Linked DNA regions of Arabidopsis thaliana. The protein of the gene in region 3 interacts with the protein of the main gene of each other region in a pairwise test. Each region holds a gene or a part of one and is shown on either strand. Other genes may lie near its edges.

What was found.
Region 1: the proteins of AT3G02420 (region 3) and UTR2 interact in a protein complementation assay, tested with the Arabidopsis thaliana proteins (one large-scale study listed by BioGRID).
Region 2: the proteins of AT3G02420 (region 3) and AT2G01540 interact in a protein complementation assay, tested with the Arabidopsis thaliana proteins (one large-scale study listed by BioGRID).
Region 4: the proteins of AT3G02420 (region 3) and TH8 interact in a protein complementation assay, tested with the Arabidopsis thaliana proteins (one large-scale study listed by BioGRID).

Annotation. Positions count from the first base shown.
Region 1 is NC_003075.7:12,058,338-12,066,767, forward strand, and holds UTR2 (UDP-galactose transporter 2), read right to left. Parts: upstream 4,522-8,430; 5' UTR 4,150-4,521; coding exon 4,027-4,149; intron 3,666-4,026; coding exon 3,637-3,665; intron 3,556-3,636; coding exon 3,354-3,555; intron 3,264-3,353; coding exon 3,021-3,263; coding exon of another isoform or gene 2,998-3,020; intron 2,952-2,997; coding exon of another isoform or gene 2,924-2,951; coding exon 2,822-2,923; intron 2,739-2,821; coding exon 2,598-2,738; intron 2,402-2,597; coding exon 2,294-2,401; intron 2,246-2,293; coding exon of another isoform or gene 2,212-2,245; coding exon 1,981-2,211; coding exon of another isoform or gene 1,970-1,980; 3' UTR 1,847-1,969; downstream 1-1,846. Other genes in the region: AT4G23000 (Calcineurin-like metallo-phosphoesterase superfamily protein), read left to right, coding at 67-168, 443-740, 898-1,046, 1,125-1,310; AT4G23015 (uncharacterized protein), read left to right, coding at 1,970-2,245; TRM11 (uncharacterized protein), read right to left, coding at 7,994-8,430.
Region 2 is NC_003071.7:239,246-246,578, reverse strand, and holds AT2G01540 (Calcium-dependent lipid-binding (CaLB domain) family protein), read left to right. Parts: upstream 1-2,929; 5' UTR 2,930-3,345; coding exon 3,346-3,459; intron 3,460-3,750; coding exon 3,751-3,846; intron 3,847-3,949; coding exon 3,950-4,282; 3' UTR 4,283-4,538; downstream 4,539-7,333. Other genes in the region: MLP329 (MLP-like protein 329), read right to left, coding at 6,230-6,498, 6,578-6,764. UniProt on the Arabidopsis thaliana protein: Stimulates the GTPase/ATPase activities of Obg-like ATPases. Mediates the transient calcium-dependent interaction of PYR/PYL/RCAR abscisic acid (ABA) receptors with the plasma membrane and thus regulates ABA sensitivity.
Region 3 is NC_003074.8:493,036-502,222, forward strand, and holds AT3G02420 (dihydroflavonol 4-reductase/flavanone protein), read right to left. Parts: upstream 5,930-9,187; 5' UTR 5,738-5,929; coding exon 5,561-5,737; exon of another isoform or gene 5,343-5,560; intron 5,199-5,342; coding exon 5,069-5,198; intron 4,984-5,068; coding exon 4,883-4,983; intron 4,583-4,882; coding exon 4,457-4,582; intron 4,364-4,456; coding exon 4,243-4,363; intron 4,159-4,242; coding exon 4,074-4,158; intron 3,965-4,073; coding exon 3,851-3,964; intron 3,719-3,850; coding exon 3,679-3,718; intron 3,297-3,678; coding exon 3,144-3,296; 3' UTR 2,849-3,143; downstream 1-2,848. Other genes in the region: ICME-LIKE2 (alpha/beta-Hydrolases superfamily protein), read right to left, coding at 120-185, 288-425, 506-607, 757-831, 962-1,042, 1,116-1,185, 1,267-1,343, 1,580-1,842; AT3G02430 (transmembrane protein, putative (DUF679)), read left to right, coding at 6,325-6,984; TBL20 (TRICHOME BIREFRINGENCE-LIKE 20), read right to left, coding at 7,485-7,788, 7,950-8,431, 8,544-9,187.
Region 4 is NC_003070.9:26,318,192-26,325,679, reverse strand, and holds TH8 (thioredoxin H-type 8), read right to left. Parts: upstream 4,283-7,488; 5' UTR 4,141-4,282; coding exon 3,958-4,140; intron 3,265-3,957; coding exon 3,142-3,264; intron 3,027-3,141; coding exon 2,886-3,026; 3' UTR 2,678-2,885; downstream 1-2,677. Other genes in the region: AT1G69890 (actin cross-linking protein (DUF569)), read left to right, coding at 1,153-1,713, 1,976-2,254; NRT1.7 (nitrate transporter 1.7), read right to left, coding at 5,583-6,474, 6,596-7,161. UniProt on the Arabidopsis thaliana protein: Probable thiol-disulfide oxidoreductase that may be involved in the redox regulation of a number of cytosolic enzymes.

The DNA.
Region 1 (8,430 bases), on a different chromosome or scaffold from region 3:
ACGGTTACTGATTCGCCTTCTTTTCTTTGCATTCTGATATTTTATGTTGTTTGCTGTTATTTGCAGATTGCTCTGGGAAATATTTTAAAGTTCAGGAAAAAGAACTGGCAATTTGATTTCATTGGTGGCATCATATACTTTCTCTTGGTCTTTTCCTTGTTCCCTCAGGTGCGGTTTTACACATCTTTGACTTTATCAAACTCTTTTTCATATGAACTGTTTCTTGTTTCTCCATTTTATATTTATTTTCTCAGCAATGCAGCCTGACTTGGTCATTAAGACTTTTTTGTTAAAATGGTACACATTGTCAGCATCCACTATTAAATGGTCAAACTGAGACAGGCCTTGCATATCTGTAGTAGTGTTTTTCCTGTGCGAAGAAATTTTTATGCTCACTTGCACTCACGAGAAAGTTTTTATCTTCATTCCTTGTTGGTTTCAGTGTGAGCTAGGCCATATCTTACGAGGCGATTCATTTTCTGGCCACTTGGGGAGTTTCTTTGGCACAGTTTGGAGCTCCTTTGTGTATGTAACAGAGCAGTCATATGTGTCTTTCACCGGGGTTCTTATGTTGCTAATAACTGCAATTATGTTTGTTCCCTCAAAAATATCTCGGAGGAAACGACTGTTAATTGGAATTCTTCATGTTTCTGCACACCTGATGGCTGCTTTGATTCTTATGTTGCTGTTGGAACTCGGCATAGAAATCTGTATTCAGCATAAGCTCCTTGCAAACTCCGGTCAGTTTCCTTTCCATAGAATGTTGTGGCTTTCCTCATTACAATGTCATTGACACAAGTGGACAAAAAATATGTGATCCTACTTTAATTGATATTTTTTTGTATCTGTGATCAAACCTTAATGGATTTTGAGATTTTCAAACTTTTTGCTACACAGGGTATCATACATTGTATCAGTGGTACAAATCAGTAGAAAATGAACATTTTCCGGACCCTACTGGCCTCCGAGACCGTATTGAGCAGTGGACGTTCGGATTATATCCTGCCTGCATCAAGTATCTTATGTCAGCATTTGATATTCCCGAGGTAAAATCGTCAACTTAGCCTTCGTTTTAGCTGAAATAGAAAACTATTTTTCAGCCGAAAGTAAAGTATTTGACATAGGTGATGGCGGTTACACGGACTAACATCTGTCGAGAAAGGAATGGGAGTCACTTTCTCGAAGCGGAGCAAGCCATCTATTATGCTTCTGTGTTCCTCTACTTTTGGGTTCTTCTCAACCCCTGTTGTATCTTTGGTTTTTGGAAGTTACTTATATATATCCATCAACTGGCTTCACATACACTTTGATGAAGCATTTTCTTCACTTCGGATCGCCAATTAACAAATCATTCACCCGTTTCCAACATCAAACCTGATGGAGACCTTGAAGTCTTCACTCTCGGAGTAGACAAGGTGAGAAAAACAACTCTCGAAATGACAAAAGAAAAAGTTTGTGATTATAGAATTAAACAGAGGAGTGTATGTGATGAATGAGTACAGGTGCCAAAGGAATGGAAGCTGGACAAGGACTGGGATGCAGAGCCGAGATCGACTGTGAAAATGAGTCATCACAGAAGGTTTCCAAGCAAATGGTGTGCAACAACATTGCAGCAGGATCCTGTCAACACCGTAAAGATTGTCGATAAGTTTGTTATTCATAGATCAGAGAAAGAAACTGGAGGATCTTAGATAGAATCAGGTTCTTCACTGATCCTGTCGTTTAGAATGTAGTCATTAGCGTTTCCCGCTTTATGAATAGGCTTTGAGACGAATAATGCTTTCTTCTGAGAGTGATGACAAAAATAATTCATATCATAGTTAACAATTTAACAGCTCAATCTTTTGCAATTTCACTTTAGAATCTAATAACAAGTCTCTGACACAACTTTAACTCTATTTTGTGTCTCCTTCATCCAACATTATTCTATAAACCCTTTGAATTTGTGAGATAAAATATATATAAATACATGGCACATTCTCAAACCAATGACTTCCTTTCTTCGTCCTCTTCTCTATCACCATCGCCTCCTGCGATCCTAACCGCTGGTCTCGCCGGAATCTTGGCCGGAGCTTTACTATCCATTGGAACCATCTTCAATACAATCCCCATTGCTATCAACAGCAAGCCTGATCCGTGCTGTTCCGTTAACGGCTTTGTGAATATCAAATACGACAGCAACAATGTAACCCCTTTCCTAGCCGTTGTTATCTACACACAACGAAATGTGATTTTAGACCATTGAGTCAATTAAAATACAAATGAGTATTCAAAGATAAGATTAGATATTTACCAAGGCAGTTGTGGCGGCTCCAAAGAGAGCAATAAGCGAGAGAACGGAGACTTGACCGATAAATGTGGCCATGGCTTCAAATACAAGCACTCCATACACATACGGATGCTGCAAATATAAACAAAGCACAATTGGTTTTAAATATGTCAACCAATGAATCATTAAACCGTTTGACTATAAAATATTCCACGTTGGTACTTAAGTTATGGAATCAATGAATTTAAAAGAGACAATTTGGCTTTTAAAAAGTTTGGCAGATTCAGAGGCACGTCGTCGGTCAATGATCTCTCTCATTTCGTGGTACCAAGAATCCTACAAATTTTGACTTTTTCTCTAAACTGAGTCCAACTCCGGTTTGAATCATAAACCGAGTCAAATCTATAGAAGTACTTTCAAAGCCAAATAAAAGGTTCCACTCTTTGTCACTTTCACTTAAAATGGACGACTATCTCATAAGGTTAACTTGGTTTGGTTAAAGGTTGACCAAAAGTCAAACCAGAAAAAAGAGAACAGAGGTTGTTTACTTACTTGTGCACACGCAGTCCACGCACGAAAAACCTCTCCGGTTAAAACCATGGGAACGAACAAGAACGGTAATCCAACAACTGTTGAGCAGAAAAGCATCTCCATCTGCACAACACACATAACAAGAGTTAATCTCAGAAACGAAACAAAACAGACCGGTAAAGGAAAACCGAAAGAACCGTGTTTTCTTTAGTTTCCTTGCCTGAGTTGTCTCAGGATTCATTGTGAAGATAGCTTCTTGCAGATTACCCAAGAAAGCATCCATGATCAATGCACCGGTTATCATCATAATCCCAATCATACTGAAATTTGGAGACATTTGCGCATCGGCTAATGTGAATAGGATCAAACCAAGAACAAGCAAGAACGCTGAAATGTATTCATGGACTGGGTATTTTCTTCTAAGACCGGGTATAAACGCTCCCATTATCATCACCGGTAACACCTAAAACATCCGAAAGATGGTCATTCCGATCATTCTTTAAACTCAATTTAAACTCATTGAGACTGTAATTGGGAAATGTGGATCTATTACCTTGGTGGATTTGAACATGATTTGAGCTGGATAATTGAGATAAGCCAAAGATCCTTTGGTTAAACCATGTGAACCCATGAGAACAGCAGAGAGTTTGACATAAGTTCTCATCGGATTAACTATATGCTTTGTGGTAAAGCCTTGAAGGTAGATTAGAAACAAGTAGACAAATCCTTGTATAAACGTGAAATACCACCCAAAGCTACAAAGACAGAGCAAAATCCCATTGTTAACTTTTGTTCAAATCTAAAACTTAAAAGAGTAATCAAAAGTTGACTTTTACCTAAATTGAAGACGATTATAAACATATTCCTGCAAAACCAAAGAAAAATAAATCAAGTCAATGATCATATATGAGTACTTGTAGATCCAATCACATTCTCTAAAATCTGTTTTCTTTACAAAGATCACAGATTTTTTGTGATCTCTCACAAGTTTGGAGAGAGTTTAGTTCGTCATGCAATTTTTTCTTCTTCCTCTGTTTTTTTTTCTCTCAGAAACAAAACATCAAACACTTAGCATGCAAGAGATTGAAAATGCAAAAAAATTATAAATTTACGAGATTCAGGAGCTGGGTATGTGGAATTATGACAAAGAACAAACAAAAACATTAACGTTGATTGATTATGTATCAAAATTCTCGAATCAAATTGCAAAAAAGAGAGAAACGAACCTCGCAAACACCGTTAACGAGATAACCAAAAAAGAAACCAGAAGTGCAAATGAGAAACTGTTGCCAAGTTGGTTTATCAGACAAAGAGATTCCAAACAGAGATCTTGTTTGTTCCTCCTTCATTTTTCTTTTCTTTTCTTTGAGGAGAGATTCAAAGGAAGAAACCCAGAAAGTGAATTAAGAGTAATTGATCAAACACATGTAAAGTGATGACTCATAACGGTATTATTATCACTCCTCGAAATAACGAAAACCACACCACAAAAAGGGTAATCAAAGAATAATTAAAACCAAATTCTTCACTCTCCTCGAGAAACTTGATGAAGAGGGAAGAGAGAGTTAATAGATGTATTGGTAAAAGAGGAGGAGGAAGAAGAGAGCTTTTAAGAAGGAAGGAGAAAACGCATGAAGAAGAAGAAGAAGAAGAGACTCGTCGCGTGATTTGCCACTTCGGGACACGTTTTTTCTCCATTGAGCGTTCTTCTTCTTCTTTTTACGTTTCCTGTTACTCTTTTTTTTACCGGTAAAACTCAAATTTGCAAGTAAGACCCTTAACGTTTATGTATGTTTGATTTAAGTCTGAAACTTTTGTTTATCTACACACCACGACAAAATTTGCATTACCAGCGTGGCACATTTTTTTGTCTTAAGTCTTTTATTGCATGATCTCATGTTTGCTAATTACGATCATATCATATTATTACCAGCTTGGTATATATATATATATAAAATTTGGGTTTTAATGACAGTTTGTGTTGTATATGTGTTGTTTGAAAAATGTATTTATAATAAATTTTGGTATAAAAATAAGAAAAATAAATGCTATGACTTATCAAATAAAATTATCTAAATTTGTCTATAAAAAAAAGTATCAAAGTAAAATGGAACAAATAAGGGTAAAAATTGATATATAAGAAACATATCAAATCAGATCTTGCTAGTCAAAATTGTAAATTTTTATCTACATTTAGGATCTGTATATTGACTATGTTTTCTAAATAACATTTGTTAAAAAAAGTGAAAGAATTCAAAAAAGTAGTGTGACAATTTTTACAAAAACCTTAATTAGAAGTCTAAAATCATATGATATCATCAAATCTTGATATAAAGTAAAAAGAAAGTGTGTCACTGACTCTACACATTAGAAAACTAGAGGCACTAATAAAAAAAATAAGATAAACTTTAGGGGTGCGTTTTCATATTTTCTTTATTTGATGCAAAAGAAAGTTACTACTTCGAGAGAATAAGAGAATAAAAAGGAAAATTTAATAAAGATAATCAATATGGCTTACGAGTCAACTTTCCGGTTTAAGACAGATTGAGTCATTGTCTCAATAGACGCCATTACAGTCTGTCTTTTACAATTTCATCATCTTTCCTGAATTTTGTTTTTGTTATTTTCGGAAGTGATTGTTAAATGCGTTACAGAAGTTCTGGTCATGTCAGAATTACATATTGACATAACATCTGGACACGTTTTGGTAAAGAAATCAATTTACTCTTTTTCTTTTCATCTTCTATATCCATATTGAGCAATAAACTTCACACATGCATATTCATTCTTTCACCAACAGAGTAGTTGTTTTGTTCTAGTTGAAAACTCTAGTGAACAAATTTGGAGGAACATATACAAAATGTGTAAGCAAAATAATGACGATATTTAGTCAATGAATTGAAATGTTTTAGAAGAATTAGGTGGCGGTGTATGGTGAACAGTCGAAATATACATTATTATTGGCTATTAGTTCTAAAGAAGCGATTATAATCGTCGTATATGAAATAGCATATAGACAAAATGGTTTGTTTTAAAATAGACCGTTTAATAATAGCTTTGATTAGTGACACTGATAAGTTAAAATGGAATAGAAAATAAATTAACTATGAGTCTATAGTCATACAAATATCATATATGCATATAGGCGTCGCAAAGAGCCAAAGACCATATTCTTTTTTTTTTTTTGGTCAAAAGCCAAAGACCATATTCTTTTCTTGAAATACCAACGCGAAACTCAACAATAAATCTGATATTTATTTTATTTTTTGTTCAAAGGCTTAAATGAGAGAGCTTACTGCAATATTACAACAACAAAAAAATTGCAATTGGTATTAGAGATTTTTTCCTATCAAATTTATTTCTATTAGAAGGTCAAGCTTTACGTGCAATTGTATTAATACATAAAGTTACAAATGATAATCTCTACACATAACAAAATTGATCTTACTCGTAGATATTTTTCTTGCTTAAAACCATTTGTGTGGTTCATAATAAACGGAAGACTTCGATCGAGAGACTTTTGCATATGCAAGCAACCCATCACATTTCACAAATTGACAACAATATTATTGCTAGAAAACTATAGATTTATGTAGATATATATTTTATTCTTTTTTGTTAAAAAAAAATCAGACATTTACATTCAAACTCAAGCGAGTAAAAGAATCAAAGTCGTTAGAGAAACAATCCAGTGACGTACGGTCAAATAGTGTGGGCCTTAGCTTCAGCCATTTTGTACAGAGTACCGGAATCTTACCAAACACCGAAGGCAGGTCCAGTTACACTAGTTAGCGGTTACGTCTCCTTCTAATTTTCATAGATGAATTAGTTTTTTTCTTCTAAATAAAATACGAATTTTTAATAAGATTTTGTGTTATTATTGATTATGGACACTGTTACTGCCGTATTATCATGCGCAAAACAGGGTTGGCAAACTTATAATAGGTGATACTTGTACAATTTATCTATATACTTATTAATTCAAATTCAAGTATTTGTGTAGCTACTACTACAACTAGACGTGATAGTCAGCATATATGAATTATTCTTTCTTTGCTAGGAATATTTTTAAAATATTATAAAACTAAATTTTTAAAAGAAAAGAAAAAAAAATTATACACTTATACGTATAATTTTAAACAAGTAGTACTACTGTACAACTTATATACAAGTCCTAAAACTTAGTAAATTATATTTATATCGTTAAATTTGGCTTATTAATATTAAGGCATATAACTGAACATAGCACGAGTATGACTTTCTTGTATACAATAAACAGAACTATACAATATATATGTCCTATGTGACTACGTGTGATTACAAAATGCAGTGATATAGCCTATAGGTAATTTGCCCCCAAAAAAAACAAACTATAGGTAATATGTCGCAATTTTTGGTTAGTGCAACAAATGCAAATTATTAAAATCTAACAATATATTAGTAAACAAGTTTTCAAATATCGAAATTGTCTCCATGCGTTCAAGCGTCTCTCTCTCAGCAACAATGATTTGGTACGTAATTCTATTACATAGGGGAATTCGGTTTATTTCCTAAATTATGGGTTTCTTTTCTTACTGAAACAATAATTCAATTTTTGGGATTCGAGGTTAGATATATTTATGCACAGAAATTAGGTTTTGCTTTTAAAAAAAATTGTAAGAGAAATTTGTTACAATTTTCATTAAATATAAAATTAGGAGGATGCATGAGATCTCTAGTGACTCAAGTCATGGTTAACTTTAAACTGATTAGTTCTATATGTATTAACTTTACCACTCCTACGTTAAAGTTAATCCAGCTCAGATTAGTTGAAGCCCAAAAAAAACTATAGTTTAGGGCCCATTTCACTTAACGGCCGTTCATTATGCTTGAAACCGCTCAACATTAACGTGGTAATTTATTATTATCCTTTTTAGACTTATTTTTCATGAATTTAGATGATACAGTAGATGTTGTCATTAGATTTGTACTAGTTTACTTTTAATGTGAGATTCTATCAACCTTCTGTCGCTGAGATTTTACCGTAATCAAGTTCAAAGTTTAGAAGTTTTTGTTTGTTTCATCAATCTCTCATTACTCATTAAACATTCAGACAATATATGTCATACCATTTACAAAGATAATAGCACTATATATCATAAATTTAGTAATGCATATAGTATAATACATACATATGTGGCAAAGAAAACAGTTTCACAAGGATATATCATGGATAAGTTCGTCAACCAAGGAAGTGAGGAAACCATTCCCCAACTCTTCGACCACATACTCTTTCTCATCCCCATTGATACAACCCCATTTCATTTCCTTCACATAAATCTCTCTTTTCTCGCTCACTTTCCAACTCATGAACATATTATATTCATCGTCTTGTCTCCTCATCACCCATTCTTCAACTATCTCCACCAACTTATCCTCGTCTCTTGTCTCATTATTATTGTTTTCTTTGAAAAAATCTAGCAACACATTGTCTACTACATGAGATGCCAGTAATTGGTTTTGTTCCTCGATTATTCTAGACTTCACTAGAGCAAACAAACGGTTTGCTCGGATTTCGGATTGATCTTCTTCAATTTCTATAATGTGAGATTTGTAATCTTGTCTTTCCTCATATTTCTCTATGCGTTTCT
Region 2 (7,333 bases), on a different chromosome or scaffold from region 3:
ATAGAATCGGAAGCTTATGTTCGTTGGGACAGGATAGCTAGCATTGAAGAGAAGTATCTTAAGCAGGTATCAAAGCTTCATTGGTTAAAGGTTGGGGATAAAAACAACAAAACTTTCCATCGCGCAGCAACCGCTAGAGCAGCTCAAAACTCTATTCGCGAAATTCAGAAGGAAGATGGTAGTACTGCCACAACTAAAGATGATATCAAGAACGAGACTGAAAGGTTTTTTCAAGAATTTCTTCAGCTAATCCCGAATGATTATGAGGGAATAACAGTGGAGAAATTAACATCTCTATTGCCTTATCATTGTTCCCCAGCGGAAAAGGATATGCTCACTGCATCAGTTTCAGCAAAAGAGATAAGGGGAGCCTTATTCTCAATGCCAAATGATAAATCTCCGGGTCCAGACGGTTACACTTCTGAATTCTACAAGCGGGCATGGGATATAATTGGTGCGGAATTTGTTTTGGCAGTCAAATCGTTTTTTGAAAAGGGTTTTCTACCAAAGGGTGTTAATACTACCATTCTAGCTCTCATCCCAAAGAAACTGGAGGCGAAAGAAATGAAAGACTATCGACCGATATCGTGCTGCAACGTCATTTACAAAGTCATCTCAAAAATCATTGCAAATAGATTGAAACATGTTCTCCCGAATTTCATCGCGGGAAACCAATCTGCATTTGTAAAAGACCGGCTCCTAATTGAGAATCTGCTATTAGCCACAGAGTTAGTAAAGGACTATCACAAGGACACAATTTCGGGTCGATGTGCTATTAAAATCGACATTTCAAAGGCTTTTGATTCTGTTCAGTGGTCATTTCTTAAAAACGTTTTGTCGGCTTTGGACTTTCCACCGGAGTTTGTTCATTGGGTTATGCTTTGTGTTACTACGGCTTCTTTTTCGGTGCAAGTCAATGGAGAATTGGCAGGCTATTTTCAAAGTTCAAGAGGTCTACGTCAGGGTTGCTCTCTTTCCCCTTATCTATTTGTTATAAGCATGGATGTTCTATCAAAAATGCTTGATCAAGCAACAGAAGCAAAGCAAATTGGCTACCACCCGCGGTGTAAAAGTATTGGTCTGTCCCACTTGAGCTTTGCTGATGATCTCATGATCCTTTCGGACGGAAAAGTTTGATCTATAGAGGGTATTGTGAAAGTTTTTGACGTTTTTGCTAAAAGTTCAGGTTTAAAAATTAGTATGGAGAAGACAACCATATATCTAGCGGGAACTTCAGAAGTGTCTCACCAATGGATCAAAGACCGGTTCAGTTTTGATGTAGGGACTCTACCGGTGAGGTATTTGGGACTCCCTCTAGTAACCAAATGCCTAACCGCTGCAGATTACTTACCTCTCATAGAACAGCTTAAAAAGAAGATTGGGTCATGGACAGCTAGATTTCTTTCTTACGCCGGTCGCTTAAACTTGATAAGCTCGGTCCTATGGAGCATTTGTAACTTTTGGCTTGCTGCGTTCCGGCTCCCGCGAAAATGTATCAGAGAAATCGATAAGTTATGTTCTACTTTCCTCTGGTCTGGTCCGGATTTAAATTCTCACAAAGCTAAGGTAGCTTGGGACGATGTTTGTAAGCCGAAGAAAGAAGGTGGACTCGGTTTAAGGTCTATAAAGGAGGCGAATGATGTGAGTTGTTTAAAGCTGATATGGAGGATACTCTCTCGAGGAGATTCTTTGTGGGTAAAATGGGTTGAGACTTATCTTTTAAACACGGAAAGTTTTTGGTCTATCAAAGAATCGACAAGCAAAGGTTCATGGATGTGGTGAAAACTTATCAAGTTCAAGGATATGGCGAAGCAGTTTTGCAAAAAAGAAGTAAACACTGGCCGCAACACTTTTTTCTGGTATGATGACTGGTCTACCTTGGGCAGGCTGGTTGAAATTGCTGGAGATAGAGGGACAATAGATATGGGGATCAGTAGAAAGATGACTCTTGAGGAGGCATGGAATGGTAGACGTCAAAGACGACACAGGGATAATGTTCTCAATCAGATGGAGGAGGCTCTTGAACTCACACGACAACGTAGAAATGGAAATGATGACGTTACTCTTTGGAAAGGCAAAAATGATGACTACCGCCATTGTTTCTCGACGAAGGAAACGTGGAACAATACCAGAACAATGGGCATCGAGGTCCCTTGGCACAAGGGGGTCTGGTTCACTCACTCAACACCGAAGTTTTCTTTTTGTGTTTGGCTTGCAGTTTATGATAGGCTCTCCACAGGAGATAAAATGCTTCTTTGGAACAGAGGTTTGCAGGGGACATGTCTTCTCTGCAGAAATGCAACTGAATCAAGAGATCATTTATTTTTCTCTTGCAGCTTTAGCTCAGAAGTTTGGGAAATGTCAGCAAAAAGCATCTACAAGTCAAGCTACTCTACGGATTGGCGACACCTACTCACAAAGATTCAAGAAAACTGGAAAGATCGAGTAGAAAGTTTTATCGCACGGTATATCTTTCAAGTTTCAGTCTATGCAATATGGCGTGAGCGCAATAGGAGGAAGCATGGGCGCAACCCGAATCAAGCAGCTCAACTTGTTCGATGGATAGATAAGCAAATACGTGATCAACTTTCAGCAATCAAACTTATGGGTGATAGAAGATATGACCAAGGCTTTCAGTTTTGGTTAAAATCTAGTAGTTAACTTGTAAAGTTTAGCTCTACGCTTAGTCTCTTAAACACCATGATGCACTCGTTGTACAACCGACATTTTTTCTTTTGAGTATAATTTAACATTTTATTAAAAAAAAGAAAAAAAATTACAAGCACCAAAACCGTCTCTCCATGCAATAATCTCTTTGTTTGTTAAATTTGAAAGATTCTTAAACGTAAAATCTTTTAAATGGGCCTGTTAATCAAGTACTCAAGCCCATTATTGTGATTTTATTACAAGTTGGTAGTAATACTTCACTGACGTTCAAAAGTAGACCCATATTAGATTAGTCTCCTATCTATAAAGGGAGTCGTCGAGCCCATTGTGACGAGATATTTCTTTTGTTCAGTCCATGACTATTGTTTTATCTCTCGAGTCGATTATTAGATTAGTCTCGTGTCCTAAACTCCTAATCATTTTTGATTAGTGTGAATAAATAAATTTTAAGAACAACAAGTTACCCAATCATTTGAAAAAATGATACTATAATTCGCTAAACTTTTTTATAAAAGAAAAATTAAGAGCAATTGGGAACGAGAACGTGTTGAATAGTTGGGGACGAGATTACAAGCACCAATTCATCTTCAGCATCATCTCCAAATTCTTCTTAAAATTTTCTTCTTCCTCCTTTACCATCTCCAGCACCGGACCTAGTCAAAAAGTCTTTCTTCTCAAATGGATCAAAAGCCTCTTGGATTGCTCACGATCCACGTCAAGAGAGGGATTAATCTCGCCATTCGCGACCATCGTAGCAGCGATCCTTACATCGTTCTCAACGTCGCCGATCAGGTTCCATTTCTCCTTGAAATCGATAGAGAACAAATTGCCTTATATGAATCAAGTCTCCGAATAACGATTCTTCTCTGTTCCTGAATTGTTCATATAGATTCAGGATTTGGGTTTTCTTCAAATCCTCTGTTTTATCTCCTCTGCTTTGGTTTTTTTTATCAAATCCTCTGTTTTTATTTCCTCTGCTTTGGGTTTTCTTCAAATCCTCTGTTTTATTTCCTCTGCTTTGGGTTTTCTTCAAATCCTCTGTTTTGTTTTGTCTAATACAAAACCAAAAATGAAATCTTTCAGACATTGAAGACACGTGTGGTGAAAAAAAATTGTAACCCAGTATGGAATGAAGAAATGACTGTTGCTATCAAAGATCCTAATGTCCCAATCCGCTTGGTAAACTTAAAAAGATTCTCTCTTTTGATTCAGACAAAAGACAAATCTTGTTTTGTTCTGTTCTTGGGGATAACATTGTTGTTTTTTTGTTGAAATCGTTCAGACAGTGTTTGATTGGGACAAGTTCACAGGAGATGACAAAATGGGAGATGCGAACATAGACATTCAACCATACTTAGAGGCTTTGAAAATGGGGATGGAGCTTTTGAGGCTACCTAATGGGTGTGCTATCAAAAGGGTTCAACCATCAAGGCACAATTGTTTATCTGATGAGAGTAGCATTGTTTGGAACAATGGTAAGATCACACAAGACTTGATCCTTAGACTTAACAATGTCGAATGTGGCGAGATTGAGATCATGCTTGAATGGCATGAAGGTGCTGGTTGCAGAGGTATCACTTCCTCTTCCAAAGGTGGAGGCTCTTCCTCTACCTAAACTTATTATTGTTCTTTCTTTCTTTCTTTTTTTGTTGTTGTGTATCAATCTGTTGTTGTTGTTTCCATATGTATAAGCAACTCAAGTATGTTTTCTTGATGACCATTTTCAATGGCATAATCAAGAAGAAAAGCTGGAAAATTTGAGACTTTCTTTTGTATGTTTTCATTTGAATATCTTTTTGATTTCTCACTTTCTGTTTTGATTTTGTTTTGTCTTTTGCAATTTGCATTCTCTTCTATGACGTAGGCGTAGGCATGACCACGGTGTTTATTAACCATCGGTTAAGATTACAGTTGAATACAGTTATGGTTACAACGATTACGGTTAAATATGCTTTATGGTTATTTAATAACTACAATATATTTAAGAACTAGATAAGGCCCGCCTATTTAGGCGGGTGTACCCAAAATTTTCAAATACTCGAACGGGTCTAAACTTCAAAACCCGAAAAACTTGAACCCGAACCCGAATAGGTATTCAAACATATCTCAAATATAAGTATATATTAGTTATATTTATACTTATATATAGAAAATATTAGGATGTTTTTGATATTTTAGTTATTTTGTGTATTTTTAGATATATTCAAGCAAAACTACTCGTGTTGTTTTGGGAATTTTTGAAATTTTCAAGTAATTTAATAGATTTGCACACAAAATTTGATATTTCAATATATAAATAAACTCGAACCCGAACCCGACCTAAAATCTTAAATTACCTTAACGGGTCCTAAACTTCTAAACCCAAAAATCCAAACCCGAAATACCCGATCCGAATACCCAAACGCTTAGGGCTAATAATTAATAATAAAAAAAGAAATCCACAAAAATATTTAGAAACCAAACATTGTTGAAAATATATTTTGTATATATGTCGTAATCTTGTAAGTTAATTTTACATCATGCAAATTAATATTAAATGAGTTAAAATTAATAAATAAAAATAAATGAAAAGTTAAATCCTATAAGCTAAGCTATTTTTCTCAAAATGTTTTATTTTTCACTTATGATTACATGAGTTAAAGACAAATTTGTTAATTTTCTTTTTGTTGAATAAATGTAAATTGTTTATAAATATATAGACATATAAATTAGTATATGTAAATTTGTTTACTTTTTAAGATTTTCTATTTTTTTAGAGAATAAAAAAGTAAAATTTGGAATGACACATGTAAACATCTGATCGTTTTATTTTTCACTTATGATTACATGAGTTAAAGACAAATTTGTTAATTTTCCTTTTGTTGAATAAATGTAAATTGTTTATAAATATATAGACATATAAATTAGTATATGTAAATTTGTTTACTTTTTAAGATTTTTTATTTTTTTAGAGAATAAAAAAGTAAAATTTGGAATGACACATATAAACATCTGATTGTTTGACTTGACACGTGGCAAAATTCTATGAATTAGCAACTTTGAAAACCATACTTTATATAATAAGATAGACGCAAAACTTTACGTATCATCGAGCTTTTTTTATTGCTTTTAATAAGATAAAAATATGTTATAATTTTTTCATATGCAATATTATTTACTCTTTTTTGAAAACGGTTCGGGTACTCTCTGAAATACGGTTACGACTAAATTTTGGGTATGACTGACGTTTAAATTTTTTGTCACTTAGTGAACTATTTTATCCTTTCTATTGTGAATGATTTGTAATTTTGTAGTTATTTCGATATATGTATAAGCAATTAAGTGTGTTTTCTTGATGACCATTTCAATGGCATGATCAAGAAAAACATTTGGATAATTTGAGATATCTGCTTAGCCCAGGCCCATTGTAACATCTGTATACTCAAACCATAATTTATTTAAAAATGATTTTGTACTACGCAAATGAAAGATTCAAACACCCATACAAGTACACACACAAAGGGAGATGTATGATGATGATGATGATGATGATGATAGGTGATGACGATGGTTCGAAAGGGATTTAGGCTTTGAGAACATGCTCGTCCATGTCAGCAACAACGCTTTTGAGGAACTTCATGTAGTTGCTAGGCTCAGGCGAATCATCGGTTCGCTTCTCCCAAATCATTGTGATCTTGCATACGATATCATCGGGAGACTTTTGGCTGAACTGATATATGAGATCATACACTTTAAGCTGCTCCATGACGTGACCTTCTAGTCCTCTGAACGTTATCACCATATTCTCATCGTCTATCTCTTTCCTTTCCTTGAACACTTCCGGTTTCCCATCTGCACATATATGCGTACATATTTGTTTCATTCATTAAGTTAGCACCATTCTTTGGATTCCATATAAATGTATTTTTACCGCATGTATAGTTCCAAATCTTGATGGCTTCATGAGAGTCCCATTCACCGTCGTGGACAGTGACACCTTGGATGTGGTGGCCGATGGCATCGGGGAAGAGGTGGTTCTCATCTCTCCACCGCTTGTAGTGTTTATCCGCCGATCCTTTCAATGGAACCTCCGTCACATATGTTCCCGATGTCGCCATCTCTTTGGGTAGTGAAAGAAATATGTTGTGTGTGTGCGCTTCTTACTTTGGTTGATGACTATTTTCACGTGTGATCTTCCTTCGTTTATATATAGAGTGTGTAACGGTTTAGACGTAAAATAGATGAGCCGGGTTTTATACTTATTTGATATCTACTGCTAATATATTTAGAATGAGTCATATTTCACGTTGTCCAAGTTCTTATCATACAATGTATTTTGTTTGTTATTAAGATAAGGATAGGTTTGACAAAATGCATATAATGGTTTTACCAACAAAAAAAGAAGCATATAATGAATCAATGATAAGGATTAGAGTAGACAAATGCATACATCAATTTTAATTTAAACCTTAAACAAACCATAATTATTGTTTGTTGATATGATGTATTGTTCCTTGAATGCCGAAAAGTCCACCAGATAACGATACCGTAGATTTCCTGCCAGCTGTGACTTTCATTGATATTTTTAAAACAATATCTTCTATTTTGTTCATTTTTTCTAAAACAATATCTTCTATTTTTGTTCATTTTTTAAACCAATCATCAAATAACACATATAAACATCTTA
Region 3 (9,187 bases):
TTATTTTTTGCGTATTCTCTCAATCTGATGAAAGTTGTTGCTTTTTTAGATACAATTGATTCTATCCAAGGTTTTGGGTTATTTGGAAGATGCCAAGTTAGATTGATCAGATGGTTTACCTTAGGAAAATTGAACGATACAAGCCTCGGTTGTGGAAGTGTTCAACCAGATTAAAGAGATTGTACCTGTTCAAGTTTACAAATGGTGAGTAGATTCTGAATTACTGGATAAGAAACCCTTTGAAAAACGTTTTAAGCTTCATAGTGTCACCAAGTTTAGTAAATTACCCTCCAGATAAACCAAAGTAAGCTTTAATCTGAGATACACTCCATGAGATGCTCTCCCCTCTTGATTCTTTAATAGCTTGTTCAAAGAGAGCACAAGAAGAGATATGTGCACCAGCCGATTGCCCCATCAGATAGATTCTACACACGCAAGAAGACACTGGTTCAATCACAAGATCCCATGGAAGATAGAAACAAAAACCAAGTTGATGAGCTCCAACCTGTTAGGATCACCTCCAAATGCAGAGATGTTATTGCAGACAAATGAGATTCCTTGAGCTGCATCACTTACCATATCACTAATTGTCCCCTGAGGAAAGTTTCTGAACCAAAGACAGGGGATTGCTTGGTCAATGCATTGGATACAGGCATATGATTAACAAAGATAAATTCCCAAATAGCTCCAAGCTGATATAGATTTGATAGAATCCAGGACAAGTAACACTGGTAAGAAATTGACTACTTTGCTTACCTGTAATCTAGACATGCCACAATTATGTCCCTTTCTGCTAGCTGTAGTCCCAAGAGAGAACCCCAAGCTTTGTAACTAAAAGGATAGGCAAGTATGAAACTATTGAGTGTGCGACTTTTATCTTGTGAAAGAAGATGTATCCACAAAGGACGCTAGTGTATTATTATCAAAGTTAAACACGATACGAGGCCCACGAATTGCTTACCCGATAATCCAAGCTCCACCAGTAACGAAAACTACAACCGGCTTCAGGCCATCACTCGTTGGCGGTATGTACAAATCCAGCCTGCCAGAATAATCGAATAAAATGTACTAAATACCAATCATTGAAGAAGGCAAGATTGCAGAGACTGAGATACCTATTCCTTGGATGACCTCCATAAACTATACTCCTCCTGACTTGAGATGAGAAAAAATAAAGATATGCAACTGCACAAGGAAATAGCAAAAGCTTTGTTAGTGTACAAAAAACAGCTTGTTAATAAGACAGAGCAAAGAAGATGGGGTAACCTTGAAGGAAACCAGGCATAAGGAGCATTGCATAACAAGCAAGAGCAAGTAATCTTGTGATCCACCGGTAACCTACCCTGAACAAAAACTTACAACAATAAAACAAAACTTTCCTTACAGAGATTCCGACAAAAAAATTGAAACATCATCACATGTCCTAAGATTATTAATTACCGGAAAACTCATTTAGTTATCATAAAACTGTGGTAAGAATAATTCATCGAGAAGACTAATTGTGAGCTCTAGAAACAGGACATGAGATACGTCTCGGCTAAAAACAAATAAACGATGCCATGAGAGGAATGAAATTTACCCGAGATATCCAAGAAGGTTGAAGCTAAGTCGAGTAATGAGATACGTCTCGGCAGCTGCATGGCCTATGTCGCGACCGAACGACTGCTGCCGGCAAATTCGAGGCGAACCGTCCTCAGAAGAATTCCCGGAGACTCTTCTACGAACATGTTCCGGTGAAGATAATCTGTTGGAGCCGTGAAGCAGCTCCATTTCCTCGGAATTCGCTGACCAAGCCTCTCTGTTTTCAGACATCGGACGGCATCGTTCCGGAGACAACTGCATCTCCGCCGTGAAAGTAGTCGGAGAAAGATTGGATCTCGAATTTTGTATCCTCCTCCTCCTATTCGTGTCTTGTGCTTTTATAATTGATCGGTTCTTGTTTTTTTTGTTTCAATTTTCAAATATTTGAAAAGCTTTCACTCATGTGCGGCTCTCTCTCTTTTTCACAGAGGAATGTCAAAACGACGTCGTATTCCGGTCCTCTTCTCTACCAATTTTTTTCCTTCCTAATGAGTATTATTAATGTGAATAAGTTACAGTATTCTGATTTGGTTTCTTTAATCTAGTAGTGATTACGTACTTTGAAGAGTTCTTTTTCTTATTTTGTGTATTAAACAGCAGTTTAAAGGGTCCCGCTCCATATATTAAATTGTGATTAGAATTGCGTTCGAACACAATACGCTATTGGTGGTTTGATGTCTCGACACTCGTATTTCGTATAGTTGTGCATAGACGCCACGTGGTATTGCTTGCTGGTACTAGACTTTGGGAACGTGTTCGGTGATTTAAGCGGTGGCACGCGCACCAATGAAGGGAATATGAATCAATGATTAAGATACCTTATTCCCAAATTTGGTTTATCTAAATAATACTCCTCTCCCCCCCCCAATGTACATTATTTTAGATTTCCTTTTTTCGAACAAAAACACTCATCCACATGTGTAAACGACTCACAACCAATCAACTATAATTTCTTTAAATAATCACCCTTTCAATATATAATAATTTTACACAATGAAACCGATTTTCTAGGGCCAGATGATATTTTAGATGATTTTTATTTTTGAGCAAAAGTTCTACAATCACTCATGGAATCAGATATTATAAAATTTAGAACATTTTCATCGGTAATTTCTCACATAATTTTTTATTGACTAAAAAATATAAAATAATAATAAAGTATGAGAGAGATAAGAGAGAGATTGAGAATTGTTTTTATGCAGAGAAATTTTAGAGTAATGATTGAGAGACTATATGTATATGTATGTGTTTATAATTGGACAGAAACTAAATCATAATAAAATATTATTATTATTATTTTTTTAGAAACTTTTGAAGTATCTCACCAATGAAAATGGCAAGGTGGAAACTGGAAAGGCAATTAGTCACATATAACTAAACTAGAAACCAAAAGTAATAAGAGATTTTTATTTCAGCGATAGCCAAAGGAAAACGTTAAAAGAGAAGAAGAATCTACTTTACGCTGAATATGAAATTAACATGGATTGTTGAAAGCTATTTAATCAATCTTCTGGTTTTTCAAAAGGGTTTCAAAAGTCACCTCTGCATTTTGTTTCTTTTTATCACCTGAACCACCATCTCTGAACGGCACTGACCGGAGTATTCAAGAAAGGAGCGTAACGTTGGATAATCGGAGTCACCGTCCTCCCTATTCTGCTCCACGTGCTCTGGTGGTAACCAGCTGTTACCGGTGCTTGATACATCAGCTTCAATAGCTGCCACCAAAATAACAAAACTCAGTTCATGAGAACAACTCTCAAGATCCAACCAACAATCCTGCAAACAACCTAGTAGATCTTTGTTTTAGGAAGAATATGAGGAAAAGGTTTTTGAACTTGACAGATTTTATAACAAGAACACAAGATTTTTAACCAAAAAAAAACAAAACACAGTTCTCATTACTATCCTGATGGTCTTAGCCCATGTAACACTTTCAGTGACAGAAGATCATCAAAGCAACAAAAAAGGTGTTATTACGGAAATGATTCTTCCTATATGTTCACTTGGATCAAATTAAACAAAGAAAACAGGGGTTCTACTTGGGAATGTTGAGCCATCACAAAGAACTGATGACTACAACCAAAAGATGATACGTACCTGCCAGTACATGAACGTCTGTATAATGTTACGTTGCCATCTGCAGTAAGTAAAATGACAATTTTGTTCAGATAAGTGAAACCAGCTAATGCAAAGCTGGGAACTTAGTGAGAATATAAACTTAAGTGCGAAAATAAACTATTATCGCTTCTAACAGGTTCAAAGAGCTTACGAGAGCAGAGAGATAATCAGAAGGAAGCCAATGGCTATCTCAGCCTGCGATGACAAGATGTTGAGGGTAGTAGTGTTTGACTCCACCCACACACAAGGGTCTTCCAAGTACTTTCTGATAACCATTACAGAACAAGACACATGTACAACATAAGCATCAGTAAGAATCCACACATGGAACCTACTACTACATTCAAACCTGCTAATCAGCTCGATGCACCTACCTGTATATAGTGGACCGACCAAAGTTACGCCTCAAGAACTTGGCTACTTGTTCAAGTGCCCGGCACAAGATGGGAATCAAAGCAACTGCAACAGATTGATAATGAGACTAGTCATAAGAATGTACGTGATTTGAAGACATTCACAAAAGAGTTTTCAATAAATTCTTACACTTGAGACAGAGATGTGAAGTGACGAATGTAAGGCAGTAGATGAAGTAGATGAAATCCTTTGCTGCCACAATTGATTGAAAATAAACTTGCAGCCCTTGCATATTCCATGCCCTTGGCCTCTGCAGATTATAAAATTACAATTCATAAGTAACAAAAATTTCGCATTGCATGATCACTAGAGAGAAAGAAAACATGAAATTCACATGGCGTACCCCGTATAAGGAGTATAAGGAATATAGAGATGAGCATGCAGTTCCCATGAAAGATAGACGATAAGCCCTATTTGAGAGGTTCTTTGGTATTAGAGGTAGCACTGCCAGCACAGCTATAACAAAAACCTGCAAAAATGTAATGGATTTAGAGACATGAAACGGGAGATAAGTTACGTGAAGCATTCCAGACAAAAAAGCATTTGTCACATCTAGTTCATGTCTAAGTACACAACAAAGATTCAGCAAGACAGGAGAACATAAAGACAGACAATACACTATGCACCATCTCATTACTGTCCGTGAAGTTAAGGAGTGAACAGCAGATTGCAACAACAATCCCAACTCACAGGGCTAACAAGAGCTAGATCTTTTTATTAAACTTGTGCAATAAGAGGAAGAAACTGCAACTGAAAAACTTTATCTTACCCAAGCATTGACTGAAAACTGAATCGTCTGCTCATCCCAGCGCATTGAACTTGGGGTTGCACCAGTCGTAGCAGATGGCCCAGAGGTTCGAGGAACCGATCCTGAGGCACACAATTAGGTAAGTTTTTGGTAGTAATAAGAAAAGCTCATTTGAGTTCAAGAATATATCAGACAAAGAAAGTTGACCTGAGTTCCGTGAACGAACTTGTTCATTTGCATTAGAAGATGCAGTTGAAGATGCAGATGTAGCAGTTGGCCTGGCAGATTGTGAAGACGAAGATGAAGTCGACATAGGCTCCACAACAAGATCAGGATCCTGCAAAAAAGAAGGACATGGCAAGCACCCTAGATTTAGAAACAAATCCAGATTACATCTTCATAGGGAAGAGCAAAGATGAACAACACGAAGGCTTCACATATTATAAACAGGACCTAACGAATATTCAATGAAAAGCCCTACCCTCCGCTTAATAACCTAATCACGAGGAGATTCGGACCCAAGGACTAAGCAATTTAGCAGAAAGAACATCAACAACCACACTTGTAAAACCTAAGATTCAAAGTCCACACTAAATCCCCAAATCAGTAGCGCACACAACACAAAGTCAAACTCGAAACTCAAAGTAATGAAGAAAATGGATAAGCAAATTCAAGAGTAGGGAAGATAGTAGTAAGTACGATGTAGCGTTGGTAGAATTTGCGCTTGAAATGGTCGACGACCTCGGGACGAGAAGCCATGTGAGGAGGGATGAGGATATTGGACCAGTAATCGGCCCATCGAGCGTCGTTTTCGTAGTCGAAGGCAGCCGCCGCAATTTTCTTCAACCGCTGGGAATCTTCGCCGCCTTCCGCCATGGATGAGATCGCCGGAGAGAGAGATTTGGATTCGACTTTTTTTGTATGGGTTTTGTTTCTTTGGTCCACTTTTCCTATACTTTACTTACTACTAGTATCTGTGGACTTTTGCAAGAGCGACGACGTTTTGGCAATCAGTTGTTTATGATATTTAATATAAAAATAACTACAACTTTGCAAAAGACTGGAAACTTTGAGGGTTTGTATGCAATTTATCCAAAGAAAGAAAATGAACAAAACAGAGCATTGGGAAAGAAACCCTAAATCGTGAGAACAGAGAAGGACTAGCGTGCGAAGAACAAGCAGAATATGACACAGTTATATCTAGCTCAATCACTGTTTTCAGCATTATGTTCTATCTTGTTAAAAGCTTTAAAAAGTCTTGTATTATTTGTCGTGTATAATGTTGTTTATCGTACAAGTTAACTGAACAGAGAGATTACTTAAATACAGACAGTCCACTATGCGTAAACTAAGTTATCATTAGCTGTTTCTATATCGTAGCATCTATAAAAAAACATCATCATCATTATCTTCACCAATATCAATCCAACGATCGAAACCTGAAAAGAATCAAAACTAAAAAGATGTCTGCCCTTCGGCTAAGAAACGCAAACACTCCGGCTCCGGAGCTCGACGAGTTATCCGATCAGACACCGTCAGAATCCCGGGTGCTCAAGAGACAGATGTCAATGTCTCAGCGAGCCATGTCAAACACCCTGACGTCAGCAGCCAATCTCTCAAACCTACTCCCAACGGGAACACTCCTCGCGTTTCAACTCCTAACGCCGGTTTTCACTTCAAACGGCGTTTGCGACCACGCAACGCGTTTCCTAACCGCCGTTCTCCTTTTCCTCTTAGCCGCGTCTTGCTTCGTCAGCTCCTTTACCGATAGCGTTAAAGCCGACGATGGAACTATCTACTTCGGTTTCGTAACGTTCAAAGGCATGTGGGTCGTTGACTATCCTGACCCGTCCGGGTTAGGTTTACCCGATTTAGCCAAATATCGGATGCGGTTCGTTGATTGGATCCACGCTACGTTGTCGGTTTTAGTGTTTGGAGCGGTTGCGTTGAGAGACAAGTATATAACTGATTGCTTTTATCCGTCGCCGGAGGCAGAGACGAAACATGTCTTGGACATTGTTCCGGTGGGTGTTGGGGTTATGTGTAGCCTTTTGTTTATGGTTTTTCCGGCGAGACGCCACGGAATTGGATATCTTGTTACCGGTAGCGTAGATCGCCGATGATTTATAATTAAAACCAATTTAGAAACGGTAGCGTTTGCATGGTGGGTTGACTATTTTCGTTTGTTTTCTTGTTTGTAAAGTTGTATAATTTGTATATATACGTTATGACCATTATTCTTTTTATTAAACTAATAAATTTTAATTTTGTGTCAAATATATATAATTTTCCTAATTCAAATAGACTTTATTTATTTGAATTCTAAAATCATTGCATGGACTTTTTGATGTAAAATACATTAATGTATGTACGGTTGACATGTTACTTGGAAAACGTTGACTATTTTACTTCATTTGTACCATAAACTTATATTAGATCCATATCATTAAATATTCAATGTGTTAATTAAGATCTGAAATTACTTAAAAGCTTATATCTGATTATGAAAACCGTGCCAAAAAGGGAAGAGATCTTTCTAAATACCACATCGTAACCAAACATACTCGTATATAATTACAAATGAACAAAAAGGGTTTAACTGAGAAAATTTAGATTCTACGTACTAGTATTTTAATCTCTTTAAATCTCTATTTTTCAACATGTCTAGTAAAAAATCGTTCCATGAATCAATTGGACCTGGCAAACACCAATGTACACAATCATTATACAAGATAACTTTATCTTCTCGTTTATGTCCGAATCTGCTCGGATGTCCATCTGGTCTTAACAACATCATCTGTGTGACATCTAGTAATCTCAAATTTAATCCGTCATTTCTGTTTTTGTCTCTGTTTGCAATGCGAAATTCATCGAGTTGAATGCTGTGTGTCTCTAGATTCATACCATCTAACTCTGTCTCATTGCTCCTATATAAACACAAAAGAAACCCAAAGGAATATATAGACGTTTCTATTAGGATGTGACGAATGAAAACTCAAACAACAACAAAAAAAACACAAAACTCATAATATTAAAGTATTCTAGAAGAAACTAATATTTTAGAAAATGTCGGATGAACAATGTATACCTATATGGTCGCGTTTTCAAGCAATTTCCACCTTTGTCCCATTCTCCACCTTCGAAATGTGAAGGAGCAAATGTCCTCAGAAACACTTCTCCTTTAAAATTCTCTAATCCAAGAATTGTCTTGAATGTTGTTCTCAATGCTCTTCTATACGCGAAATGTGCCCCGACATTTCTGACTCCGGGAATGTAGCAATACAAACATCCTATCCTTTTTTGTTTGTCGAAAAGGAAGAGTGGTCGGAAAAACCATTGTCCAGATGAGATGATTATGTAATCGAACTCACCGATTTGGGAAGCCCAAGTAGGGTCAGGTTCGTCGAGGTAGAGATTGTAGAATGAATTAGGACCTGTCGGACCGGTTTCCGTTTCTTCAGCGCGAACCAAATGTGTTGTCCAAAATGTGGCGATCGTGAAGTTGTACGTTTTGTATTTCCATCGTTGGAAATTAAACTCCTGTTGTGAGTCACCCTCAGGATGTTCCACCTGAAATTAATATCTAAACCAAGGTTACTTTTGCATCAAGTAATGTATTAAACGAGTAAGTATTGTCATAAAATAAATAAAAAAGTTGGATAAGCATTGAGAGAATTGGTACCCGAGAGAGTAGGCAGATCAAAGACTGAACGTGGTTTCTGCTAACGGAGTCACCAACGAACGCCATTCTTGTTCCTCTAACTATTTCCAGAAACTCGTAAGGATCAAACAGAGGGAGATCACATTCTTTAGGTTTCCATCTCCATTTCATGAAACCTAAATCAGGTCTTCCATACTTGATGCAGTTTTGGTGTTCGTGTATCGCCCTGCATGTCGTGTTTGTGTAGTACGGGGCTTTAGGGTTTGGGATCCACTCGCCGGAGAATATATCGCATTTACGTTTTCTCTTTTTCCGGCGGTGCTCTTTCTTAGGAGTTACTTGATGATGACCATTCGATGATGAGATGGATAGACGATCATTGTTATGCAAAGATGATGACTTGGGATCATGATATGTGTCGTCGTAATCATTATCATACGACGATGGTTCTGAATCTTCTGTCTTATAACTATCTGATGATGATGATGAATGGTTATACCTAGATGGAGAAGATATTGCCGACGACGATGATGAATTCGATAAATGTTTGTATGTTGATGTTGAATAATAGAGAGGATAACCAAAAAAGAGATAAAGGATTGGAGCTATCGTAAGTAGAATAAGAGGAAATATCACTAGTCCTATTCGTAACTTTGTCGCAGGAA
Region 4 (7,488 bases), on a different chromosome or scaffold from region 3:
AGTGTACTAATTGAAACTATCTACAAATAACTAATCGACGTCTTTTTATTTGAACGTCTTTTTAATTGTTATGATTAGTGAAATTATGACATTAAGTAAGGTTTTCTTAGTTAGCTAATGTATGGCTATTCAATTGTTATGTTAGGCTATTTTAGTTAGTATATGAATTTAGGCAGTCTATGCAAATGATTTCGTTTTCATTTTTTCATATGTAAACATCAAGATCAAGTAACGCCATTCGAGTTGATATTTTTTTTTTAAATTAGTGTGTGTAAATTTTGGACCGCTTATTTGAGTTTGCTAATGAAGTTGCATATATATTACGTTAAACCATAGGCAAACTAATTTGAAACATCCGATTCGATTTCCTGTAATTTTTCTTGGTTAATTGACCAAAATCAAGATCTTCAGAAATAAAATAAAAGACGAAAGAAAGCTGTCGCAAAGCAGATTGTGTTAAAAAAAAGTGGATTGGGCTCAAACGCAACTTGTCCAGCCCGTGACAATTACCCTATACGCAAGTAAGAGTAACGTATCACTGGCAAAAGTTGGTATTAGTTACGATATCTTTGTCATGGGGGCATGCATGGGCATGGCTTAAGAGTTAAGCCTTAAGAAGAGTCCCACACTCGTGACTCTCATGATCGCTTGTTGTTTCTTACGGGCAAATACATTTAACTTTATTCTTCATTTATTCACCTATATTCTTTTGGATAATAACTTTTCTCTATATAAAATAACAAACATCGTACGTTTCATTTATTTACAACAAGCGATGAGAATTAAAAGGAGACCTTAATTGATGATACTCTTCTTTTCTCTCGGTTACAACGGGATTATTACAGATAATGATAATCTATATGGATGCTGACGTGGAAAAACAAAATTTGGTGAAACACGTCAATTAAGCACGACTTTTCCATGGCTAGTGGCTAAGATCGTTTCATCACATGGCTATATCATATAATACTTGGATGAATTCAAAATAAACGACTGAGAAAATGTCCACGTCACGGCGCACCGCTTTGGACTTAAGTCTCCTATAATAAATACAACACCAAACATTGCATTCCACATTAATTCGTCTTGTGCAAAAAAAGACACTTCTTAAGCTTCAACAAGAAAGAAATAGTATTCGCATAGTATTAGAAGATGGATTTTTTCAATCAAGCTAAAGCCGTAAGGATGCGTAACGTCCATGATAAGTATCTAACAGCGGATGAGGACGAGGAAACGGTGACTCAAGACAGGAATGGTTCCGACAAGAGAGCTAGATGGATTGTCGAGCCGGTTCGTGGTTCCTTTGAAGTGATCCGTTTAAGGAGCTGCTACGGTAACTACCTCACCGCTTCGAATGAGCGGTTCTTGCTCGGAGCCACTGGACGTAAAGTGGTCTTGTCTAAACCGGCTCGACTCGACTCCTCCGTAGAGTGGGAACCGGTGAGAGAAGGTTCCAAAATGAAGCTCAAGACTAGATACGGAAACTTGCTTCGAGCCAACGGTGGACTTCCTCCATGGCGTAACTCTGTCACGCATGACACTTCTCATGTATTGGATTCTTTCTTGTGGGATGTTGATGTGGTTGAGATTTTGGTGGGAACGACGACTCCGGCTCCAGCTCCAGCTCCGGTGACAACTCCTCCGCCACATAGGAGGCCGTCGTACACGTATTCTCCGGTTTCTAGAACATCTTCAGAAAAATCCGAAGAAGAGGTATTAATTAATTCGACTAGGAAAATTATCCGTTACACTGTTTCACTTTCTTTTTTTAACATTTATCTGCGGAAATAAAAACTGAAAATAATATCCAAAATTCTAAATATCTGAAAAAACTAGTGAAGGGATGGTATTAAAATATTGTTTCTTTAGATATTTATAGAATATCCAAAGATTTTAGTAAACTGTATTACGAAAATATCTATCAGATTTTGTCAAGATTATCGTCTTAACATTTTCTTGGTTTTGGTTTGACTAGTTGACCGTGCCGCCACCGAAATCTGAAGGGAGGCCTATTTACTACCACATCGCGGACGAAGAAGGACACGTGGAGGAAGAATCAGCCGTTGGATATGCGTTGACTTTCAAAGGAAATAGCGTGGAACAGTTGACGCAGGCGTTGCAAGAAGAGACTAGTATGGATGATGTTGTGGTCTGTACACGCCATCCTTCAAACGGCAAGCTGTTTCCTCTTCGTTTGCAACTTCCACCTAATAGTGGAACAATGCATGTCATTCTAGTACCCTCAAGTACTTAACGGCAAGCTGTGTGGTTCCCCTTTATTTCGAATGTATTATATAAGTAGACTAGTAGTTGAAGTATTAGGCTCAAGATTGAGAGTTTGGTCCTTGCCTAGTTGCCTCCATTAGATACGAGTGTGGAATTAATCATAGAAAGTTCAGATAGACTATTATTGTGGATTTGATTTAATCTTTCATTTTATTGTACATAAGCTTATTTTGTAAACGAAGCATTTAAGTTTCGTCCTCCCATTTTTTATGTGAATTCGCCATAAAAAATTGTTTGTACTATAAAAGTTTTTTTTTTTTTTTTAAATATTAAAGTGTAACCCAATCATTGCGCAAGTCTTCACCAACTCTCCCACTTTGATAAAATGTGTTACTAAATTGTTCTTCTACTAAAGAGCTATTGACTTATTTCAAAAAATCATATGAAAGATAGAAAAAACGATACAAATCGCTGATCATATATTTTATATTACATGAGACACGTACATAGCAAATCCAACATCCAATTCCTTTACAACACAAACAAGTTTTATTTTGTTGAATCGTCGTTCAAACATTTTATCTATACATAGTAGTAAACTATATATTCTTGGCGTAAGGTGATGAGGAGTTTTGTTTGGCGTGTTAGGAATTCAACGTTCAGAAGAAGGATTGTGTGTATTTATTGAGTTTCCTCTCTAACTCATCAACCTTCACACCCACAACCATGTCTACTTCTCGGCCTCTTTTCATGAATACAATCGCAGGTAAAGTGCTAAGGTTGAACTCCATCCACACGCTCTGTATATCAACCAAACACTATTTTATAACTCAAAAGCAAACACAAATTTTGTTGAAACCTTTTCTTTAGACTTTGAGAAAAAAGATGAAGAAAAGGAGAATGATTATTTATTACCATTAAGACATCGACATCAATCTTCACGAACTCAACATCGGTGTATTTAGCAGCCAACTCTTCGAGCTTTGGTTCAAGGGTTTTACATGGTCCACACCATTTAGCTGTGAACTCGATCACCAGCTATATAAAAAACATGAAAAGTGAATGTTCATTATGATATTTTCAAATTAAGCCTAAGAGCAAGGTTAGTTGCATTGTGCTAGGAGTTTCAACTCGAAAATAAGAAGAAACCTAGAGTAATATGGTTGTCCCTCAAAATAATAAGATAAAAAGAGTAATTGGTTGAATAACTTGCGAGTGATAATTTTCAACTGGTTTATCTCATTTTTCTCTGATTTGCTCATCCAACTAACGTTGAATGGGATGCATAATTTATTTCACTCTTCTTTTTTTGAATCCCAAACTGTAAAATTTGAGAGGATTTTTGTTTCACTGAAATATGTAACCATTTGCAGCCAACTATAATAGCCTAACTTTGACTCGATAGAATGATCCAAAAGGGATATGATTCGACTTTAGAGCGAGTTTTTTTTTAGATGAGCCAGAAGAGTCATTATCTTGTGAGTTGTGTTCAAAATCTCACCTCATCTTTAAACTGAGATCTGGAATATGATGAATATGGACCAAACTACTTATTTACCATTTAGATTGAGTTGGAAGTTCATATAAGTTAATGCATTATTGTTATGTTATAAATGTCTCGAATCTGGTTATAAGAACCCTAGTTCGAATACTTTTCTAAAATTTTAAAAATAGAATCTAAAGCAAAAATGGCTTAACTTAGATTATAGATCGCATTAGTCAATATATTACCAGCTTGTTGGTGTCTTTAAGAGCGTTGAGCCTAGATTTCCACTGATTCATGTTCTTGATCTCCACAATACAAGGACTGTTGACTTTGAAAGGATAAATCTCAGGTCGAGGTGTCCATGGCTTCGTTGAACGGAAGTGGGTTACCTGAAATCTCTGGTCTGGAGTAGAAACGTTAGCACCCATTGAGTGTGTCTCTCTCTCTCTCTAAGCAGAAAGAAGCAAATGGTTTTGAGTAGAAGCTCTTAGTTTGAGCACAAGGAGAGCGGAAGAGTTGGCTTTTATATATAACGTCAAATATTCTCTGGTGGACCAAGTAGCCGTAATTCGTAACCAATTTTAACACTACATTTTCTATTGGCTCTAAGTTGTAGCGCAAAACTATCATATGAAGTAAGCGGAAAGTTGCATGTAAACCTACTTTAGTAATCTTAAAGTCCAAATTAAAAATCAAGTTGTCTAGAATCAGTTCGTGAAAACTATAAAGTTATAATTGGAATTCTAAATAGCTGTCTTACGCTATATCTATCGCATGAGTCATATCCAATATATTGAATAAATCTGGAATTGTATAAAACGTTTTATTATATTGTTTGTTTTAAGTTTAGGATATAATTTATTTCTATTTATTTATCCATCCACTGATTATGCAACCTAAATTTTAAGTTCAACGTGATATCCACAGCTATCTCTCTTCTATCTTTTTTTTTTTCGTTAGTGTGAGTTACTTTTTAGACTCGCAAGAGAGACAACAATGGTGGCAGCAGAAGTGTTTGACCCTTTTACAGCCGTGAAAAAAGGATTCCAAATCTTTCACAATATATGATTCCCTTATAACTTTTCATTTTAATTTAGTTGATTTTGTATGAAAGCTTCTTTTGGATTTTCTATTTATTAGCTAACAGTAAAAAAGCATACAAACCTATATACTAGTTATTTATTTTTGTCAAACCCCAATATATTAATTGAGTGAATAAACGTTAAAACGGAATTCAATTGTAGGTTAAATGAATGATGGAATATACAGCATGTGGCAAAGAGGTAGACACAAAATAAAGCAGTAGATATTTTTGCTTCATGCCAAATATGTTTTGGACTTGGTGTTCTAGAAGTCTAATATGATATATATATATATATATATTTTTTTTTTTTTTATGTACCCAAGAAGTCTAATATTAATATTAACAGTAATAGCAGTAGTAGCTTTTCTTTACAACATATTAGTTGGGTTGTACTCATTTACCGTCCGTAATCGATAAAGGATGAAACTATGCCTAATAACGTGATCCTCCATAGAAATGATCAATTAAAACTATACTGTTTATATTTCTATCAAGTCATAACATAGTGTATATGATATAGTTCCAAATGCAATCCATCTAACTAGATTACTTTTATGATTTTAAATATACTTGTTAGAGATGGTTTTCTGATTCCAGGCAGAGAGTATGATGACAAAGTTATAAAATAAGACAAAACTGTGAACTATATCTAACACTTCTACATAATGAAAGGTAAAATTTTATTAAATATTCTAGTTCTTACATATTATGATACATACATTGTCATAGTAATTATTCAAACAACATCGACAATCTTCTTGTTGTCCCTAAGGATAGTCTATTAAATCATTTCATCGATTTCTTCGAAGTCATCTCAACATCATCGGAGGACTTGTCCTCCTCAAAGTCTTCAATCGGTAAACCGACCTTGTACCGGTATCCCCGAGCACAATACCAAAAGTAAACCAGATTAACCACACCCAAAACCGCAATCAGATAATAGAAGTAATCCAATTTTCCCGCGTTGAGATTCTTGTTTAGCCAATCCGGACGATCATGCCCACCGGAGAATTTATGAACGACAGTCACAAGGAAACTACTAAGGTAGCTCGAACCGGCGAACGATAAAGAGAAGAGAGAGTTAGCGATACTTCTCATGTGCTCTGGAAACTGACTGTTGAAGAACTCAATTTGTCCGATGATATTGAATGCTTCACATAGTCCCATGAGAATTAGCTGCGGCGAAAGCCAAAACACCGACATTGGAGTCATTCCCGTTGGATCTCCGGCATTGATGGAGCGTATGCGTCTCATACGCTCCACAATGCCCGCAACGATCATAGAAAAGATCGCGAAAACGATCCCTGTTCCTATCCTTTGGAGGAGTGTGATTCCGGATTTATGGCCGGTGATTCGCCGCATGAATGGTACAAAAACGCGGTCGTAGAAGGGAAGAAAGATGCCGATTGTGAGGAGAGAGATGACGGAGAGTGAACCAGCCGGAATCTCGAATTTAGGACCTAAGTTTCGATCCATTTTCAAAGCTTGAGAGACCGTGAAAGTGCCTTGTGTTGTCATGGCCGCGAGTGAGATTATTCCGGCCGACCAGATAGGAACAATTCGGATCAAACACTTCACTTCTTCCACTTCTTGGACGCTGCATAACCGCCACTTGTCTGCGGGAGGTCCCTCGGGTGTTAGGTCACCTTCTATAACCACCGCGGCTTTGTCAAGACACCTAATTTTATGCCATTTCAGTTAGACTATAGGTTAATACAAAATCATGTAATCAGTGTTGTCTTAAAACCACCTTGAAAGTGATAAGCAAAAAATAAAAACAAAAATCATATATTAAGTACCTGAATTGGTTACTGCGGTGTAACTTGGATAACACGCTAGACTTGATGGCTGGGTCGTAATAGGTGACAGTGCCGTCATCTTCCGCCGGAAGTTTCAGCTTTCGCTTCTTACGAGCTGCCACGATAACTTGAGCGATCCCAGAGAATATACTTCCTTCTGGTTTAACGTAGACATAACGCTTCATTCCGGCAAAAAACATAACAACCGCAAGAGCCATGAGTCCGGTAGGGATACTAAAACCGATAATCCAACTGACTTGATCCTGGATATACACAACTACGGTCTGTGTAATGATCAGAACCACAGTGAAAGTCATGTAATACCAGTTGAAGAAACTGGCCACTCCTTTAACCCCTTCCTCAGTTCGTTGGTCAAACTGATCAACCCCAAAAGGGATGCTACAAGGTCGTATTCCTCCACTCCCTACGGAGAGGAAACAGAGTCCCAATAGCAAAACTCCGATCTGGAGCTTATTCGGACCGCCGCAACTGAGTGGGTCCTGGCTGTTGCATGATGCTGGGTGGAGTTGAGGAAACGATGCTGTGAGTGTAATTGTTATTAGTCCCTGCATGTTGTCAATGTAATTATAATCAGTCATTATTAATTTTGAAACCGATTCTTCATTATTAGATATTCTATAATATATAACTTGAAACTGAATGATTGTTAATTAATATTGAAGAAAGCAAACAGTAGTGTGGGATATATAGATTGAAGTTATGCGAACAAATACAAACAATTAATAAAGTTTACAATAGTCTTAATTAGGTTTGACTTCATATGATTGAAAAGTGATGTTACCTTGATTAGGTGAAAGTGACAGTGACGTAGAACCTAATATCATTTATTTCTGTTGTAACCCTAATATAGTAATATGAGCATTTGTAACAGT